Linked DNA regions of Macaca fascicularis. The protein of the gene in region 1 purifies or fractionates together with the protein of each later gene. This does not show direct contact. Links are inferred from orthologs where the notes say so. Each region holds a gene or a part of one and is shown in the gene's direction. Other genes may lie near its edges.

Evidence for each region.
Region 2: the proteins of PPP2R2D (region 1) and PPP2R1B purify together in Homo sapiens (affinity purification with mass spectrometry; 4 studies listed by BioGRID and IntAct, counting the BioPlex papers as one, with this or other methods). This does not show direct contact. The link is inferred for Macaca fascicularis from reciprocal best matches to the Homo sapiens genes PPP2R2D and PPP2R1B.

Annotation. Positions count from the first base shown.
Region 1 is NC_088383.1:140,987,639-140,991,451, forward strand, and holds part of PPP2R2D (serine/threonine-protein phosphatase 2A 55 kDa regulatory subunit B delta isoform), read left to right. Parts: intron 1-22; coding exon 23-188; intron 189-566; coding exon 567-679; intron 680-928; exon of another isoform or gene 929-1,026; intron 1,027-3,813. UniProt on the Homo sapiens protein: Substrate-recognition subunit of protein phosphatase 2A (PP2A) that plays a key role in cell cycle by controlling mitosis entry and exit. Involved in chromosome clustering during late mitosis by mediating dephosphorylation of MKI67.
Region 2 is NC_088388.1:110,657,989-110,661,801, reverse strand, and holds part of PPP2R1B (serine/threonine-protein phosphatase 2A 65 kDa regulatory subunit A beta isoform), read left to right. Parts: exon of another isoform or gene 1-404; intron 405-1,969; coding exon 1,970-2,091; intron 2,092-3,813. UniProt on the Homo sapiens protein: The PR65 subunit of protein phosphatase 2A serves as a scaffolding molecule to coordinate the assembly of the catalytic subunit and a variable regulatory B subunit.

The DNA of each region.
Region 1 (3,813 bases):
CAGCTCTCATGTTTCTTTGCAGAACAAAAGCCGCCCTCATTCTAGGGGAGAATATAATGTTTACAGCACTTTTCAAAGTCATGAACCAGAGTTTGACTATTTGAAAAGTCTAGAAATTGAGGAAAAAATTAATAAAATTAGGTGGTTACCACAACAGAATGCTGCTCATTTTCTACTCTCTACAAATGGTAAGAATTGTTTTCTAAGTGGCTGATTTAGTGTTTTATTTTTAATTTTCTGTGTGTGTAGATTTCTTTTTATTTTAGAAGTTAATCCTGCTTTAAATTTTGTGGGGAGGGTAAGTTATCTAGGGTAGCAAGTGATAGGTTGAAAATTCAAAGTATGCAACAAAAACCACACGTGCAAGTTACTAGGATGTTACTCTGCACGTCTCCACATCTTTGTTTATTGTGCAAAACACCTCCAATTGGAAATATTCATGTTCAAAGACCCCATAGCTTATAAACCAACATAGGGCCACACCGCTTTCTAATATAATACTCAAACAGTAGTGATGCATGTTACAGTTTTTCTTTTCATATGGAGAATGAGGTTTTTATTTTCAGATAAAACTATAAAATTATGGAAAATAAGTGAACGGGATAAAAGAGCAGAAGGTTATAACCTGAAAGACGAAGATGGAAGACTTCGAGATCCGTTTAGAATCACAGCACTACGGGTATACGTTGCCTTTTCTTTATCCAATGCCGTTCAGAAGTTAAGAATAAACGTTTACGTCTGCTGTTTGGAGAGTCCTGCTGGGTGGAATACTGTGAGGTCCACCTCCTGAGTCATGAAAGGCATTTGCGCTCATGACACATGTGTTTAAAGCAAGGTCTTTCTCCTATTTTCACAAAGGCAAAAAGTCACATGTGGTCTTTAGACAATACTGCAATACTAAGGGGAAAACTCACATCTAATTCTACAGCAGAAATCTTGGTGGACGTACCGACCACCCTTCTCTCTGAAGGTTCGGAACAGCACCTGGCAAGTTGAAGTTCAGATGGAATTCCGAACACTTCGCAGGTGAAACAGCACAGGCTGCAGATCGAAAGATAGGCTGTGGGCCACCAAGATGCATTCAGAATGTTCTCATGGCATTTCTTTGGGGTTGACTTAGGCAGATGCTGACAGTTCAGAACTCTTCACCTGTCCGTCCATGAGCATCATTACTTTTTTAATTGTTAAGTTATTTGCTCCATTGTTGGCGCCCCCCTATCCCCACCCCCCCCCCCCCCCCGCATCATGCAGTATGAAATGACCATATTTCGTCAATTCCAGGGCCTAGATTTTTTCACATTTTAATATCTATGAAATCGGGTAAAACTTAAAACCTCAATGTCTTATAATTGGCCTGGTGCTACGTACGACTGATGTGTGTCTTAAATTAGATGGAACATGGTGAAGGGTGTCCAGCAAACTGGACTCCAGCCCGGGTGTGTCTTGGTGAGAAACCAGCACCTGTGCAGAGGTGTGTCCCCTGGAAGGAAACCCTGCCTGGTCCCAAGGGAGTGCCATTACTAGATCTGAAAACGGTTGGTGGGTGGGTGGGTGGGTTGGCTGGTTGGTTAATTGGTTGGGTGGTTTCGTTGCCGGGGGGGGTGGGTGTGGCTGGTTGAGTTGGTTGGGTTGGGTGACTGGTTTTTAATGAGATTTCAGCCCGTTACGCTATTGTTTATCAAGTGAAGCCGAGTGAGCGAGCCCATTCCACATTAGCCTTTGAAGTGCTACAGAGAAGGACGCTGAGCTGCAGAAGCCTTTCCCTAACACACGTGCCCCTGGGAGTGACGCTGGGTCTGTTCTGATGCCATTTCTCCAGCTTTGCCGTGCGGGGTGGGTGCACCTGGGGTCGTGCATTTCCCAATTTCCCAGGAGGAGTGTCCTCAGACTTCTCACATCGAGGTTATCACCCTGTTTCCTATGAGCTCATCAAAGTGAGAAAGGCTGTGGCATGTGCTGAAAATGTAGTTTATAATGTGAGCCAAGATGTTTCAATCCAAAATGGTGGTGGTGTCTGATACGCAGTGCCGCTGCCTTTGCATCCATGAATTAGTGTAAATCATTTTTAGTGACAGTAACACGAGTTGTGCAGTTCCTTTATCATGAAACTGCTGACCCTAAAGTAGAAGTGTGATGGGACCCCTGAGGGTGGGCACTTGACCCCCTCCAGTCTCGTCCATCTCTTCTACAGGCAACACCACCTCCCACCCAGGTACCTGTGCATACCCCACCCTCAGAAACCCCTGTTCCTCCCGATCAGACCCTGCCACAACCCATGAGTTCACATGCTCATTTTGGGAAAACAGTAGGCCTTTACTAGGCCCAGTCTTGGTTTTATTCAAGGCTGCTTTTGTAGGTTTAGCCTAAATAAAATGGGTATAATTGGTGGCCCTACTGAAGGCTTGTGAGAAGTATAGTTATTTCATTAGTCAGTGCATGGGGAAGAGACCACAGACAGGTAATTCTGTACAATGACTTAGGTCAGTATTTGAGATTGTACCTCTCTAACAGTTCAGAATGGGCTATTTATGTATCTGAGCCTAACTGGGTAAGAGTCAGAAATGTTGCTATTTTTAAATTTTTGCTCTTAAATTATTTTAGTGCCAGAAAAGGGATATAATTAAAAGAAGAAATCTTGGCCAGGCACGGTGGCTCATACCTATAATCCCAGCACTTTGGGAGACTGAGATGGGAGGATCACTTGAGCCCAGGAGTTCAAGACCAGCCTGGGCAACATAGCCAGACCCCATCTCTAAAAATGAAAACAAATTATTTTATATGTAAATTAAAATTTTTTAAAATAAAAGAAGGAATCTTTGTAAGTATTGCAGCCATCATGTGTTTTGATTAATGGGAGATTTGTTAGAGGATTGTGGCAGGTGTGTGTTTTTTAAGCCTGAACTTCATTGAACTGACTCTTCTTGATCTAAAGAATCCAAGGCTGTGGTCAGCACTAACTGGGTTAAAATGGGGGAAGTCTCACTACACACACTTCTCCACGTTCGTTTTTTACAGAATTTGGCCAGACAAGACTCAGTTGAGAGATTTTTTTTCCCTAAGCTTTCAAGGCTCTCCCTTTTGGTTTCTAATTACAAGAATAACAAAAAATACTCTCATTAATTTTTTGTTTTGATTTTAAAGCTTATGTTTTTCTTCCAGCTGGGTGTTAGGGAGATGCAGACCTTTGTCCTTTTTTCATGTGTGATGCTATTCCTCACACCTGAGCTCTCACCTCTGACCGCAGGCGGCCTCCAGCCAGCACCCTTCTCCTCTCTGTCCTTTCCATTTCAGTGTGAATTGGGCTTCCCTAGAAGCCTCCCTGACCGCCGCACTCGACACAGAGATGGGTGCGGGAGGTACCTTTTACTTTTTGTTTTAACCTCAGATGAAGTGTAATGAATAATACATACCTCCAAATAATATGTCTGCCCTATAAGTGACCAGCTCCATGAATGTTTGTAGACTGGACATGCCCATGTAGTCAGCCCCAGACCAATAAATGGAACATCCTCAGCTCCCCAGCACCCACCTGTGCACCCTGCCAGTCCCTGGAGCCGGTGGAGGCTTGTGGGGTTTGCACCAAGAAGCATAGTCCTGGTGCAGTGAGAGGAGTTTTGTGCATGTAGCTGCAAGGAGAGGACAAAGGGAGGGGCTCAGCTGAGCCACCCAGGAAGACTTTGCTGTCCAGCGTCTCAGTGTGGCCACCAGAGGACGCATAGGAGAGGGAGCCGCAGGCCTCGGTGCCTGGGCAGCTTGTACCGTGCCAGCTGATCTTCTTTTCTTCAGCAGGAAGAAAATGTCGACCTCGGTAAT
Region 2 (3,813 bases), on another chromosome or scaffold:
TCCACCCTAAAACTGAGAGGGAGAGCGGGCCCTGGCTTTCTCAAGCATGGGTCGGGGGCTCAGCGGGGCCTCTGTCTTTTGTGGTGACCCCTCAGGGGTTTCATTGTTTTCTTCTGAGTGAAGCAAAAGATAATTTGCTTTGGCACTCTTTGGAGGAATTGTGCTTTGGCTCATAACTTGGCCATGTTCTCCATGAATTAGTTCTCCTATTTTTTTTTTTTAACTACCTTAAACTTAAGGGACAATTTCTCCTATCTTGATTTCACTGGAATATAGGCTTTAGGAGCTCTGTAAGGCTGGTATTTTTGTCTGTTTTATCTTCTGTATTGCCAGTGCCTGGAACAGTATCTGGTGCACATAATAGGTGCTCAATAAAAATGTGTTCAGTGGATGAATTTCTAAAATATCCTCTGATGTGTTGTGTACATGGAACAAATCACCAAAAGAACCAGACTGTGTCTTATTTTCCCATCGACACAAAGATTTTCCTGCTCTCAGGAAACAAGCTTTATGTGGCCCTTCTCTGGTCCCCTGGCTTAGACTACAGTTCTGTGTGGATTTGTCTGGTTGCTTCAAACATGTATTGGTTTTCATCCTTGGCAGCTTACATCAGTTGTTTGATTAGAAAAATGAAGCAGACACACACACATACACACACAAACATATTACCTGTGCCGTACAAATGTCTCAGCAGCAATGGAGTTCACCTTGGTGTTTCTCTGCAATTTGTGTGGGGTTTACTCCTCACAGGTTTAAGAGACCAGGTCTTGTTTCTTTCTCTGTGCTGCCAAGAAGATGTGAACCTGAGGATGCATCTTGTTGCATAAGAAGGAAAACAGGTGAATATGTGGTTTCTAATGAGGTCTTGTTGAAATAACGGGCTGCCCTCAGCTCACAGAAATACCACAGCTCGGCCACTGTGATGCAGAGCCCCAGGGGTCTTCGTCCGACAGCTTGTCCTGACTCAACAGTCGGCAGCCTGACCTTTGAGCTGGCTTGCCCAAGCGTTCAGGTTGTTTGCGTAGACCTCTAGGGAAGCAAGCCTGTCCTTCCTGGCCCGGCGGTTAACCTGGTGCACTTTTGTTCCTTTGTTAACCGTTGTGTTGTCACTAAACTGAAAGGCTGGGGCTTGCCCTTAGACGTCACATTGGCTCTGTCCCTGTGGCGACGGCAGGGCAGGGTGGCCAAACAGGTCAGGTGCTTGTCCTGTCCTCTTGCCTTTTACTTAAATTCCTCTGACTTAAAAATGGTGACACTCTTATCGTAAAGCTTCCTATTTTTCTCCACTGCTTGGATATGAAACTAGGGGGAGAGGCCCTGTTGCCCAGTGTTCTCCTGGTTTACCAGCTGAGGTGACTGCAGTCTGATGTGATGTAATTGTTTCCCTTTGATTCTCCAGTATTCCTGTTTCCATCCAGTTCCTTACTCCCCTCTTTCCTCTTCCCTCGCACGTCTCCCTCCAGTCCTCTGTACCTAGAATAGTCTCACTGTCCCCTGTTTGCCTCCACGAGCCTGCTGTTTCCAGGAAATTACATAACGTTCAGTTGGGATGGAAATCTTCTGGAGGACGAATAGAGTTTAATTCCTCATTGCGTCGAAAAGCCAAGTCATTTCTGTCTCCAGAGGTGTTCTCTTAAACTGATAGGAGTTCTGAAAGGAGCCAGGTCTTCCCTGTGGTTGGGGCTCTGGAGGCCATCAGTGACCAAGATGTAGGGAACAGCCAGGTGGACACCAAAAGGCCCTATGGGGCAGCGCTTTCCAGGGCCCCGAGGGAAAGGCACCTCAGCACGACCCTGGACTGCCCCAGCCTTCTCTGCCCAGTGCCCCATGGGCAGAGACTGTCGGCTGCTGCTGGACTTCCCAGCTCTGCTGGCACAACTGAGGGCATCCTGGCTGGGAAGCGCAGGTGGGCTTGGGAGGGATGTGCCCTGGTCAGGGACAGTTACAGCGCCACTGTCTGTGTCTCTAGTGGTGGCACAAAGGCTGAGGAAGCTAGATTTTCCTGTGAAGGACAGTGGAGAACCCAGTGTCCCTCGGGCTGACAAGAACCATTTCCCAAGACCCAGAGTGCCTGGAGAGGACACGGGGAAGGTAAGTGCCCCGGAAGCCTGGGGCCAAGTCCTGCCCTCAGGGCTGCGGGCAGCCAGGGTGGCCTGGTCTGCGGGGAGCTGCCGCAGGGTAGGCTGAGAAGCAGCTCCTCTCACTTTGTCCCCAGGGGAAGAGTCCAATATTAAGGGCCGGGAGTAGATTTTTAAAGCCTGTTGCCAGCTTACTTCGTTCTGGGAGTGCTTTCTGAGGGACGGGTTGCCGGCCAGAGCTGTCACTATTGTAGCTTGAGGCCCATCTCCCATCACCTCCCCGTCCAACAGCGAAGCCCATATAGAGGACACTGGTGGGATTTGGTGAAGAATTGCTTGTAAAAAGGGGCTGTTCCCATTTTCCTCACGTAATACAGAAGTGACTTGCCACAATTCCTCAGTTATTTCCATTCAAGATAAAAATAGTTGCAAGTTTCTCTGTAACAGCTCATGTTCTACAAGCCCCACTGGACGCCACTCTGTGTGGAAATGGTGTGAAAAGCCGCATTTCAGCAGTCGGTGCCAGCCACTGCCCCAGGGCCATTCATTAGGAGGGCGATTTGTGACTTACAGATATATTCAGAAAAGGAGAGCAGCAGGGCTTGGCTGCCTCGTGCTGATGCCAGACTGCGTTTAGTTCATGGGGAAAAATCTGACATTCTCACACCCACTCTAGTGGGTTCGCTTGGTGAAATTCTATGAAGTAACATCAAAAAGGCTGCCTTTTAAGTCACATGGCTTTTCATTTTATGTGAACCGAAACCATGAAAACGTTTTTTCCTGTTGTTGAGGTCCAGAATCGCCTTCGCTCATCTTAGAACGTTCTTGCCTTCCTGAGTGGCTGCACACTTGTCCGTGGGCAGCACCGGTCGTTCCTGCAGTGGCCACACAGTGGGAGGAAGGGCTGGGCGATGACTGTCCGGATGGATTCCCGAGTGGCCAGTCCTTGGAGTCCATGTTCTCTTCACAGAACTGGGCCGCAGGAAGGAGAACTTGGCTGAAGGAGTGGGGGGTGACAGTTACACATTTTTTAGGCCTAAACCACAGACTTCTTTGGGAAGAAAGGGGTTACATCTTCCTACAAATTCAGAGCCAACTGCTCATGCCATAAATGCGTGGTAAGACCCGATCTGAGCGTGGGTCATTGAGGTGGCCCTCCCATGGCTGACCTGCTCAGCTCTGACGGCCCGAGCTGTGCCTCTGCTAGCTGAGGAGTTATTGAGAATTAACTGTCGTTACTTGAGCCTTGGTCACTGCAGCCCCTTGTCAGGCACTTTAAATCTCATGTCATCCTCACCCACCCTAGGTGGTTAAGTGCTGTCATCATTTTTCAGTCCCTCATGAATCTCCCCCAACCTCTGTCATGTCTATTTGAGAATCTTTCTTTCCAGGAAAGGAGGCCCATTGGTGCTAGGCCTCTGAGGCTTCAGTTCATTTAACTCAGAAAAATCCCCCGCCCCATGACTCAGGGAGCCTTCCATGCATTTGTTTCACTTAAGGAAAATGACCCGAGGGGGAGATGGAAAGGGAATTGGCTGTTGCCAGGCAGAACCCTGTGTGTCAGGGGCCAGCAGCCAAGTGAGTGATCCAGGAAGTCATCCAATTGCAACCAGAAATTGTTCTTAACCCCTCACTGTCTAGGGTGTGTAGTGGACTTGCCAGTCTGTCCGAACGGGGTGAGAGTGAGCGCCTTGCTATTGAGAGCCCCGGGAACCATCCGTTCTCAGCCACCCTC